2 linked regions of the Saccharomyces cerevisiae S288C genome follow. Changing the gene in region 1 together with any one later gene gives a genetic interaction. Each region holds a gene or a part of one and is shown on either strand. Other genes may lie near its edges.

Region 1 (8,351 bases):
TCATTTAGTACAGCAAATGAAGTGCATATCATACCTTCCTCGGACAGTAGCAAATTAATACAAATATCTGATGTTTCAATGTCTCCTTCTCTATAATGAGTGCATGCCCCATATGGACAACAACGTTCACACTGGTCGGTGCAAGGGCACACAGCAATCTCAGAGTTTCTTTCATTGGCTGCATGGAGCACAAATTCAATCTTGTGCTTTAAAGTATCTGCGCGGTTATGGCAAGTTCTCCATCAGTCTCTTATTCCAGCAAGCATTCTTTTACGGAACTTCAATGCATCTAAATACATATGTACAGATAGCCAAAACTAATAGAGACATAATAAATTAAACAAAACTGTAAATTTTAAAAAGAGTATATATAGGGCTCAAGAAACTGCGTAAATATAAAATTAATGAAGAAAATCTGATTGTCAACTAAACGACATCTTCCATTTCTATTTCATCTTCCAAGTCAGCCTCCGCGTCTCCTTGCGCATTGTCTCCAGCGGAACCTGTTTGCTCATCAGCTAGTTCACCTAAGGTTGCCTTTCTCTCCTCCTCTTTCAACTTTTTATACTCTGGCCTTAAAGTGTATTTGAATGCATATGGGCCCTTCTTCACTAGAGTGGCAACTTTATCCAAACACTCCTTTAAATGTGCTTCAGGTTGCCTAGTACGTTCCTTCAACCCCTTCAAGGACCAGTAGTCATACTCATCAAATAACTTGAACAAGTAATCCAAGATTTCCTTCTTTGGCATACGAATAGATTTAATATTGCTCTTGGCCTTCTCACGCCCCACTTTCAAGAAATTCGAGTTGTCTGACCTCATGGACATACCTGTGTGGCTCATCGTAACACCAACGGTTTCATCCAAAGTTGTGATCCTTTCCTTATTATTAAGCTTGACAATATTTCTTCTCTGTTCAACAATCTTGTGATAATTAGGATCATTCATTGATGGCATAACCTGACATTCGTGGCAAACTGTACCCACAATGGCGGTTTTTTTGGGAATCGTCTTCACATATGGTATATATCTATCTCTACCATCCCTATCTGTCATAACTCTGTGATTAAACTTTTTTCTATTATTTCTACGTTTTTGCTGCTGCTGCTTCTTCTTAAGTTCCTCTTCACGTTCTTGCTTCTTCAGGTAAGCTTGCCTTTGCTTTTCAGGATCTGCTTCCAACTCCTTTTTACGTTGTTGATATTTCTTTAAATTTTGTTCTGTGAAAACATATTCATTTTCTACTACTTTCTTTGTAAGTTCTAAATCATATTCGTGCGGTATAGAATCGTTATCATTTTCATTCAATAGAAGTGTGATTTTACTCCCATCCTTGTTTATCCTAATTTTACCCAGTTCTTGGCCATGCAAGTTGTTTCTGTCCCTCCATTTCTCTGCTAGAAACATGGGCAATCTAACTAACCAGACTTGTCTATTACTACGTTCCAAGTCCAAATCTAAGGATTCTTCATAAACTTTGGTTTCATTATTCTCAATATCATTACCGTCAAAAACTTCCTCCTCTTGCGAAAGATACTCATCACCGGAAATGTTACCTGATTTCTCCTTCGCGACAGAGTTCGTGGAATTATTAGAAAGTGCTGGTGCCCCTGCTGAACCACTGCTCATGGTGTTAAGTTGGTCTTCTATTTTACTCTTAATATTGCGTTATGCGTTGAAGCCAACAGCATATGTCTTATTCTTCTAATTTCAAGCCTGATAATTTATTCATTTCGCGCAAGGGAAGATGAAAAAGTTAAGAAGAGAATCGACCTTTGGAAAGGGCCCCAATGGAAAGAACTTCAATGTTTTTTCCTCTACAAGTAATAAGAGCATAAAATGGACCTAGATCTAGCCAGTATCTTAAAAGGTGAAATTTCTAAGAAGAAGAAAGAGCTGGCCAACTCTAAAGGTGTTCAGCCACCATGCACTGAGAAATTCCAGCCACATGAATCCGCAAACATAGACGAAACACCGCGACAGGTAGAACAAGAAAGTACAGATGAAGAAAACCTGTCAGACAATCAGAGTGACGATATTAGGACCACCATTAGCAAATTAGAAAATCGGCCAGAAAGGATACAAGAAGCGATAGCTCAAGACAAAACCATCTCTGTAATCATTGATCCATCACAAATTGGTTCTACTGAAGGAAAACCTCTTTTGTCAATGAAATGTAATTTATATATTCACGAAATATTATCTCGTTGGAAGGCGTCTTTGGAAGCTTATCATCCGGAGCTGTTCTTAGACACTAAAAAAGCACTCTTTCCACTCCTACTGCAACTACGAAGGAACCAGCTTGCCCCGGATTTACTTATTTCCCTTGCGACCGTTCTCTATCATTTACAACAACCTAAAGAAATAAATTTAGCCGTTCAGTCCTATATGAAACTCAGTATCGGCAATGTGGCCTGGCCTATTGGTGTTACTAGCGTAGGCATTCATGCTCGTAGTGCACATTCGAAAATTCAAGGAGGCCGGAATGCTGCTAACATAATGATTGATGAAAGAACGCGATTATGGATTACCAGTATTAAAAGATTAATAACTTTTGAAGAATGGTATACCAGCAACCACGATAGCTTAGCCTAATTGTTGAACTATTGTTTTCGTTATCGCGTGGCACGATATCATGCGGCCAAAATAAGAAGCAAGAATGCAGATGTTGATAGCCTTTGTTCAATTTTCCAGAGACAAATGCTTTACAGGATCGGGACTTGAAATATACTGACTGGATGACGGTAAACTTAGATCCGGATAAAGTTTGGATAGACGGCTGCTTTGATTTCACACATCATGGGCATGCGGGAGCCATTTTGCAGGCTCGTCGAACAGTTTCAAAAGAAAATGGTAAACTATTCTGTGGTGTGCATACCGATGAAGATATTCAGCATAACAAAGGAACACCAGTAATGAACTCTTCAGAAAGATATGAGCATACTAGATCAAATAGGTGGTGTTCGGAAGTGGTTGAAGCGGCGCCATATGTTACAGATCCCAATTGGATGGATAAATATCAGTGCCAATATGTTGTTCATGGTGATGATATCACCATAGATGCTAATGGAGAAGACTGCTATAAGTTGGTGAAAGAGATGGGGCGCTTCAAGGTAGTTAAAAGAACATATGGCGTAAGTACTACCGAGATTATACATAGAATATTGACGAAAAAATCTTTGCCACCGACTCATCCTGATTATTATCCCACCACCCAGGAATTGAGTTTCTATTCTGTCGCCCAAGATGCCGTTTCAAAACATTGTTATGTCTTTCAGAGGGATTTGGACAATGTCTTGGTCAATGGTGGATACAAATTCGATGCAGAAGATTGTGTTTATGTTGACGGGGATTTTGACTTATTCCATATGGGGGATATTGATCAGTTAAGAAAGCTGAAAATGGATCTTCACCCCGATAAGAAATTGATTGTTGGTATTACCACAAGCGATTACTCGAGTACCATTATGACGATGAAGGAACGCGTCTTGAGCGTTTTAAGTTGTAAATATGTTGATGCCGTTATTATCGATGCTGACGCCACCTCAATGTCTCAGTATAACTGCGAGAAGTATCATATTGGCACGGCTGTCCTCACTGCTGCCGGAAAATTCAGTGAATACTTGACTAAAGAGCTTATTGTGAAGAGGGTGGAATCGCAAAGGGAGGTTTACATTGCGAGGAACCAAAAAAAGGGAATGTCCATATAAACAAATGTTGAAAACTTCTTCGAACGTAAATTAAATGGATGTAAGAAAACTGTATTACATAAGTCATGAAGTAGGCATGCAAGTATATACCTATAGATGCATATAAATCAGTGGAGAAGGCCACTATCCTTCAGAGATCAAAAAACCTTTTTTTATCTTGAAAACGCCCTCATTCCTTTTGGACGTTTTCAAACTTTTGTTCATGCGATTGCAAATTTGAGCCTCTTCTATCTTTCTTGAACACTGGGGGTATTTCACCATTATCAATTAAGTCATCAATCTCATCGCCTGGCTTACCCCAATTACCCTTGCCGGAACCTTGCTTCTTGATGTGATTTGGAGATTCACCGTAGTTACCAGTGTGCGAAAAGTACTTTGGATCAGCCTTTCCTTCACGTTCGGTCCACTTGTTTGTTCTCGTCATTTTTTCTGATTGGTTGTACACTTGAGCGGTTTGTTACTGTTGATTGTTCGTTTATTTGTATAATTGAGTTTACACAACAATTGTTACAATAGTATGGGTAATTAGGGCCAAGAGAGTGACAAAAAGCAAACTTATAAATAGTCCTTTTATACAAATGACAAGTGTTCGCTTCTGCGCTCGCAGCCCCCTGTTTTCGAAGGAGTTTCTTAGCCTAAGCTAGGCAGGCGCGCCCCCATTATCTATCCCTTCATTGCTTACTGAGAGGTTTTCCTCCCCCCCTCCGCGTATATTTCCTCCGCTGGAGAAAATTAGTTGTGGGACGGATAGCATCACTTAATTCTGTACCTTTTTGAAACTGGCTTGGTACTTTCTGTTGGATAGCAACATTTCCCGCTGGGATACTTCAACATGGGCTATGAATTTTCTTTTGTCTTTTATCTTTTATCTTTTATCTTTTATCTTTAAATTATTTGAGCTCGGTTAAGTTCATAACTATTGCGTGCCCGAATGGTATTCTTTCAATTCACAACCAAACATTAAAATGAAGAAAGCATACTCTTATATTATATCAATGTCTTTTTCTTTACTTATTTGTCTTTGCTCATAAATTTCTACATAATGGTAGTAATGGTGATGAAATGTTGTTACTTGTGATATATTACATAGTTTTTACAGGCATATTCTATCTGATACCTGCCAACCTGTTGGTATTCATATGGAGATTGATATCTAGATCATCAGTGCTTTCCTCAATGTTGTTGAGACGTTTTTGCTGAGAGTCTAATTCTTTACCAGTGGTCAAGGCCATTTTCTTCAATCTGTTGCTAACCTGCTGAATCTGGTCCAAATTCCTATCAATTTCCAATTCCATTTCGTCATCTTCTTCATCATTCTCAAACTGATATCTCTTTGCCTTTTCTAGAACATTCTTCCTCTGATATCTTTCCCGCACCTCACTTATGTTATTATTTGCGTTCATAGCACCCTCTATTCTTTGAGTGGACTGAGACAATTGTTGACTTGTTTGCTCTCTCATTAATTTTTCTTCAATTTTCCTATTCTTCAGCTGCTCTTCCCTCTCCCTTCTCCTTCTCTTGGAATTAAACGGATTAGAAACATGGACAGCCAATATACTACGGTTCAATTTTTTTAGTTCTGCAACTTTTTCATCTGCAACTTTATTTTGCACCTTCATTAAATCTAAGTTTCCTTCTACGTTATTCAATTGTTCACTTTGATGACCCAGCATACCCAATGTGTTCATACCTGCTCTTTCGGCGTCTTGAGCCATTTTTAGTGTATTTCTAGTAGAGGCTACGGAACTCTGTTTCGTAAATTTGATCTCCTGCTTGATTTCATCTACTGCTTCATCTTCTTCCTGCTGCTGGCGAGCCTCCTCTTCTTTTTGTATTTCTTCAAATGTTTTGTAACCCCTTTGATCTCCATATTGGTTATTTGTTGCGTTAAAGTGTTGCTGTTGCTGTTGCTGCTCATCCATGAACCACTGTTGCTGCTGCTGCTGTCTTGAACTATGATCAACTTCGGACGCATTTAAATCTATTGAATCTTCATTCGTCATTACTGCATTCAAATCAGGCTCATCTAATGCCGCTCTATTTTCTGCAGACTTGTCAGCATAAACTTCTTCAAAATCAAATTCACCTGTTCTAGGTTCTTCATTTAAATCAACTTCACTATTGCGTGCTGCTTCATCAGAAGCAATAAAAGAGGGCGTATAAGTCATTGGAGCTTGTTGCGATTGCGGTTGACGCACACTTCTACTAGAATATGGATTTGCAGACCTGTTCAAATTTCCATTACTATATGAGTCGTTCGCCATAGAGGCGTATGGATTTGCATTCTTGGAGCTTCCTTGTCGAGTACCGCTAGATCTATTAGTATTGGAGTCATACGCCCCGCCATAACTATTCATATCAGCGTAAGGATTTCTCTTTTCTTGCATCGGGTTTGCTAAGGGACTTCTTTGGTCAAGCGATAAGCTGTTGGTCGACGTTGAAACCGGCGGTTGCCTTGTTTGCCTCGAAGGCCCTACGTTTAAAGTGCTGTTTGAATGATTTAAACTATTACGGCCATTCGCATTCACCCAGCTGTTTGAAGTATTTTGGTTACTATACGGGCCATCGTTATTATATGAATTCAGAGATGTGCCATTGTACCCCCCTCCATAATCACCATAAGGCGCAGCATTGACGCTACCTCTCCCATTACTTTTATTAGCTTGAAACCTTGCATAAGGATCGTCATCATATCGGTAATCATCATTTTCGATAGCGTACGGATCTTGCATAGAATTGGATTCTGCTCCATTTCCGAGATCTTGCGTGCCACTTGAACCTCTATTAGAACCAGCAGTTGCCTCGTTAGCATTGGCATCTAAGGGAGAAGCATTCAAATCCTCAAGTTCATCCTGTGGCCTAGCATACTGCTCATAACCTGGTGGCGCGTATACCTTATCTTCAGCTTTATCATTTGCAAATTTACCGTAGGCGGCAAATTTCTCTTTTCTTTTCTTGCTAGGGTTTTTGACACTAATACCCAGTTCCATCAAAGTATCCTTGTTCTGTTCTGGTGTCGCTTCCTCTGGAGGCTTAATCTTAAAAAATTTCTTTAATCCCATTCTTTTGGTGTCAATGGTGTATTATTCCGAGTTACTCCAGGCTAGGTTCAGGAGTACCAAGAATGTACTTTATTTATTTATACACCGGAGCAAGTCATATAATTACGCAAACGATTCGAAATTGTTAAAAGCAGGATCAACGTATCTCATTTCTTTTTGAAAGACGGGTAATAGAAAGTCTCTGAGTCGCACCCCACATGGATATCGTACTATTCGTATATGGAATGTAAAATACTCGCAATACGATTTTATTTAGCTTCACAATCTCTCAAACTTATCGTCTTGATCAATCTTTACGTTTTACCAAATAATCGCCTGTTTCTGGCCATTTTTTGCTTATACCATCTACCATACTCGCTGTCCATATGTGACGGTGTCGTCTCCAAGAAAAATAACAATGTAAATTGACCCAGCGTGACGACAGTAGACTGTAAGTTATAGTACAATCATACTCTACCTTAGTCACTGTTCCTCCACTGTTAAGTAGAGAGAGAGAGAGAGTTTAAAGTGGAGAAGGCAAGAAAAAGTGCACTTATTACGTAATGGATCCCACCAAAGCACCCGATTTTAAACCGCCACAGCCAAATGAAGAACTACAACCACCGCCAGATCCAACACATACGATACCAAAATCTGGACCCATAGTTCCATATGTTTTAGCTGATTATAATTCTTCGATCGATGCTCCTTTCAATCTCGACATTTACAAAACCCTGTCGTCAAGGAAAAAAAACGCCAACTCAAGCAACCGAATGGACCATATTCCATTAAATACTAGTGACTTCCAGCCACTATCTCGGGATGTATCATCGGAGGAGGAAAGTGAAGGGCAATCGAATGGAATTGACGCTACTCTACAGGATGTTACGATGACTGGGAATTTGGGGGTACTGAAGAGCCAAATTGCTGATTTGGAAGAAGTTCCTCACACAATTGTAAGACAAGCCAGAACTATTGAAGATTACGAATTTCCTGTACACAGATTGACGAAAAAGTTACAAGATCCTGAAAAACTGCCTCTGATCATCGTTGCTTGTGGATCATTTTCTCCCATAACATACCTACATTTGAGAATGTTTGAAATGGCTTTAGATGATATCAATGAGCAAACGCGTTTTGAAGTGGTTGGTGGTTATTTTTCTCCAGTAAGTGATAACTATCAAAAGCGAGGGTTAGCCCCAGCTTATCATCGTGTCCGCATGTGCGAATTAGCATGCGAGCGGACATCATCTTGGTTAATGGTTGATGCCTGGGAATCTTTACAATCAAGTTATACAAGGACAGCAAAAGTCTTGGACCATTTCAATCATGAAATAAATATCAAGAGAGGTGGAATCATGACTGTAGATGGTGAAAAAATGGGCGTAAAAATCATGTTATTGGCAGGCGGTGATCTTATCGAATCCATGGGCGAGCCTCATGTGTGGGCTGATTCAGACCTGCACCATATTTTGGGTAATTATGGATGTTTGATCGTGGAAAGGACTGGTTCTGATGTTAGGTCCTTCTTGCTTTCCCATGATATCATGTATGAACACAGAAGAAATATCCTTATTATCAAACAACTTATTTACAATGA
Region 2 (4,439 bases), on another chromosome or scaffold:
CCTCAAGGGACGAAGGATTTAACGATATTGAAAATCATGCTAGAATGTTTGCAGGACCCTGTCCATGAAGTAAGACAAAGCTGCTTTGCCCTGTTGGGAGATATTGTATATTTTTTCAATTCGGAACTGGTAATTGGTAATTTGGAGGATTTCTTGAAGTTGATTGGTACGGAAATAATGCATAACGACGATAGTGATGGTACTCCTGCTGTGATAAATGCGATATGGGCGCTTGGTTTGATAAGCGAACGTATCGATTTGAATACTTATATCATTGATATGTCTAGAATCATTCTAGATTTATTTACCACCAACACACAAATCGTAGACAGCTCTGTGATGGAGAACTTGTCTGTGACCATCGGAAAAATGGGGCTAACACACCCTGAAGTTTTCAGTTCTGGCGCATTTGCCAATGATTCCAACTGGAATAAATGGTGTTTGTCCGTTAACGCATTGGACGATGTAGAGGAAAAGAGTAGCGCGTACATGGGTTTCCTGAAAATTATCAATTTGACCAGCACGGAGGTCACAATGAGTAATGATACCATTCATAAAATTGTTACGGGCCTTTCAAGCAATGTAGAGGCGAATGTTTTTGCGCAAGAGATCTACACCTTTTTGATGAACCATTCTGCCCAAATTTCTGCAATAAATTTCACGCCCGATGAAATCTCCTTCTTACAACAGTTCACCAGCTAAAATTTTTTTTACTGTATCCTACGTGTTTGTATAGTTTGGTACATTATTACTAGTGATATATACATAGCACAATTCGGAAAAAAAAAAAAGGTGCATAACTGCAAATGGATCACATAGAAATGAAAATAGTTATAAAAGTTACATATAATTAATAGACGTATTACATACATGCTTAAAGTGACATGTTAAAGTTTTTTTTTTTATCTCCTTGTGAAAAAAAATAACACTGAGGGGAAGAAAGGCAACTGCAAAGAACAGAAGGGGAGATTATTCTTTTTTTTTTTTTCATTCTTGAATACTTTTGCGGGTTCTCTTAGAATAGCATATCCATGGTGCAGCATATACATAATGCAGCCAGACATGCAGCCAGACAACCTTCGTTACCCCTCTGGGGTGGTTGTTGTTGGACGTAGACTGGTTGTTGATGGCCTTGTTGGTTATATCCCTGCTGGTTATATCCCTGCTGATTGTAGCCCTGCTGATTGTACCCTTGCTGATTGTACCCTTGCTGATTGTATCCTTGTTGGTTATAGTATCCGGGATGCTGCTGCTGCTGCTGGTAGTACTGCTGCTGTTGTTGGGGTGGGTATCCACGCTCCTGAGTTTTGTTCTGATGAGCGGATGAAGGTGGCGGGTTGGAGGGACGGGAATATTGGCTCTTCTCGCCGGCGGTTCCGCCGTAGTAATCGTTAGCAGACATGGTGGTTGTGTGTAGGACTATCTTAAGCTTACTAGTGAGTCTCTTCAATGCTTGTCTTGAGAAGAGAAAGAGCCAGAGGGGGATTTTGGAAAAAGCCAAATTGACATACTTTTATAGCTTCGGCCGCAGCAGAATGGCTGAAGAGTAAGAGGGCGCAGAGCGGCTGAGCGAACCCGTCGGGCGCGACCAGCCGATAGTAGCACAGTAGAATTTTAGAAGCATTCGTTATCAGGCCGATGTGTGCAATTATTGTAGGTCTGCAGTAACGTAGCTCTACTTTTTCGCAGTCCCGTAGTTTTAAAACTTTTAGTTAATCAGGTGTGAGGTGGAATGAGCGATGGCACTATGTCGGGCAAGGCAGCTTAGCGCACAAGTTAAGCTGGTGCGCTCAGAAGTTGGAGGGTTCGCTAAATAGGTTATGCAAACATGCAAGTCAAGTGAGTCGCCATTGGCTCGCTTGGTGATTAGGTGACTCTAATACATCGTCCAGGACCCGTTATTACCGTTCACGTGCTAAAAAAGGATCGCGTCCTTTTGCGGAGGGATGAAAAAGATAGTGAAAAAATAACAATGAAGAAAAAAAAAATATAGAAGAATCATCAAAATAAATTACGTGTACTTGGTGTTGCTTATACGTTAAAAGCAGAATTGCCCTACTTTTTAATATCCTCGTGCTGCTCAAGGTATCATATCTACTTCGAGACAAATCAGTGTAGGTAGGTCAGTAAAATTATATTTTCAGTATGCTGCTTACCAAAAGGTTTTCAAAGCTGTTCAAGCTGACGTTCATAGTTTTGATATTGTGCGGGCTGTTCGTCATTACAAACAAATACATGGATGAGAACACGTCGGTCAAGGAGTACAAGGAGTACTTAGACAGATATGTCCAGAGTTACTCCAATAAGTATTCATCTTCCTCAGACGCCGCCAGCGCTGACGATTCAACCCCATTGAGGGACAATGATGAGGCAGGCAATGAAAAGTTGAAAAGCTTCTACAACAACGTTTTCAACTTTCTAATGGTTGATTCGCCCAAGGGGAGTACTGCAAAGCAGTATAACGAGGCATGCTTATTAAAGGGTGACATTGGAGACCGTCCCGACCACTACAAAGATCTTTACAAGTTGTCTGCTAAGGAGCTGTCCAAGTGTTTGGAACTATCTCCGGATGAAGTAGCAAGTCTGACCAAAAGCCATAAGGACTACGTAGAGCATATAGCGACTCTCGTCTCGCCAAAGGGTACGTACAAAGGGTCCGGTATAGCCACAGTGGGTGGCGGGAAGTTCTCCCTTATGGCATTTTTGATCATTAAGACTTTAAGGAATATGGGGACCACGTTACCTGTGGAAGTCCTGATCCCTCCTGGTGATGAAGGTGAAACTGAGTTTTGTAACAAGATTCTGCCTAAGTATAACTCCAAGTGTATTTACGTTTCAGATATTCTACCACGAGAGACGATTGAAAAATTTGTTTTCAAAGGATACCAGTTTAAATCATTGGCCCTTATCGCTTCTAGTTTTGAAAACCTGCTCTTACTGGATGCTGACAACTTCCCCATCAAACCCCTAGACAACATATTCAATGAAGAACCATATGTGTCTACGGGCTTGGTCATGTGGCCCGATTTCTGGAGGCGTACAACTCACCCATTGTATTACGACATTGCAGGTATTGCTGTGGACAAGAAAAAGAGAGTTCGCAATTCTCGAGACGATATCACCCCACCTGCTGTTTACACAAAGGATTTGAAGGATTTGAGTGACGTCCCGCTAAGTGACCTAGACGGAACAATACCCGACGTGTCTACGGAATCCGGCCAACTGATGATAAACAAAACGAAGCATTTGGCTACGGCTCTTCTATCTTTATTCTACAACGTCAATGGACCAACGTGGTACTACCCAATATTTTCTCAAAAAGCTGCTGGTGAAGGTGATAAGGAAACTTTCATTGCCGCTGCAAACTTTTATGGTCTATCATTTTACCAAGTTAGAACAAGGACAGGCGTTGAAGGCTACCATGATGAAGACGGGTTTCATGGTGTAGCAATGTTACAACACGACTTTGTGCAGGATTATGGCCGTTACTTAAATGCTATGGAGAGCATTGGCAACAAATACGGTGGCACTAAATCAGCTGATGCAATCAAGTTTGACAAAAACTATTCCCTCGAAAAATACACCGAAGAATTTTTCGACAACGAGGACTTAAATGCCAAGAATCATGTAGATGTTATGTTCATCCATTCAAACTTCCCAAAGTTTGACCCATACGATTTATCTAAAAGCAATTTTTTGACTACGAATGGTAAACCTGCTCGTTCATATACGGCCTTAAAAAAGGTAAAAAATTACGATATTGAACTAGAGAATTTCAAGGTTTTAAACGAATATGTTTGTGTTAATAAGAATCCTTTCAAATATCTCGATGACCTTTTAGGGCAGGATAAAACGGAATGGAAAAGAGTGTGTGGTTACATCACCGATAGATTAGCATTTTTAGAATCTACTCATGATAAGGCGATTGCCGGTAAATAATATGCAACGGGTCGGACTATAGTTTGGACAACTTCCATTGGCGTTTTCTACATTCTTATTACTATTCCTTACATAGTTATGTTTATTTATCTTCCAGTTATGTAAATTTTTTCCTTCACAATCCATATAAAATGACTTTACTACAGATGTATAAATATGCAGTCCCGGGTGTATTTGAGAATCGAGACTACGTCATACCGGTAAGTGGGACTGCGTTTTGAAAAAAAATAAAGAAGTACTTTCGGCAGGATATTTGCCAATGTGTACATATCCCCTCAGTGAAAAAGCTCGAATCAAATAAAAGAAAAAACCTATATATTGGAAAGAAGCAAAATTTTCAAATTAAACGCAAAACAACTGAAGAAAATTAGAGATGGCTATTGTTATAAACAAAAGAAACGTGAGAGTCTTGGTAATAACTAATTTACTGCTCATTGTTGTGTTTTTTGTGTTAAGGAATTCGAATGCTAGCGTCAACGAAAGTATTACTACTCACCATC

The links. A genetic interaction does not mean that the proteins touch.
Region 2: mutations in SEC9 (region 1) and MNN2 together harm fitness more than expected from each alone (negative genetic interaction), as found in Saccharomyces cerevisiae (3 studies listed by BioGRID).

What each region holds. Positions count from the first base shown.
Region 1 is NC_001139.9:504,231-512,581, forward strand, and holds SEC9 (Sec9p), read right to left. Parts: upstream 6,773-8,351; coding exon 4,817-6,772; downstream 1-4,816. Other genes in the region: PEX31 (peroxisome biogenesis protein), read left to right, coding at 1-96; transcription factor IIF subunit TFG2, read right to left, coding at 427-1,629; mRNA splicing protein PRP18, read left to right, coding at 1,840-2,595; ECT1 (ethanolamine-phosphate cytidylyltransferase), read left to right, coding at 2,739-3,710; STF2 (ATPase-stabilizing factor family protein), read right to left, coding at 3,880-4,134; nicotinamide-nucleotide adenylyltransferase NMA2, read left to right, coding at 7,315-8,351. UniProt on the Saccharomyces cerevisiae protein: Component of a SNARE complex that may be the effector of SEC4 function in exocytosis.
Region 2 is NC_001134.8:267,210-271,648, reverse strand, and holds MNN2 (alpha-1,2-mannosyltransferase MNN2), read left to right. Parts: upstream 1-2,145; coding exon 2,146-3,939; downstream 3,940-4,439. Other genes in the region: KAP104 (Kap104p), read left to right, coding at 1-702; cysteine-rich palmitoylated domain-containing protein CPP1, read right to left, coding at 1,016-1,402; glutathione-disulfide reductase GRX7, read left to right, coding at 4,313-4,439. UniProt on the Saccharomyces cerevisiae protein: Alpha-1,2-mannosyltransferase, responsible for addition of the first alpha-1,2-linked mannose to form the branches on the mannan backbone of oligosaccharides.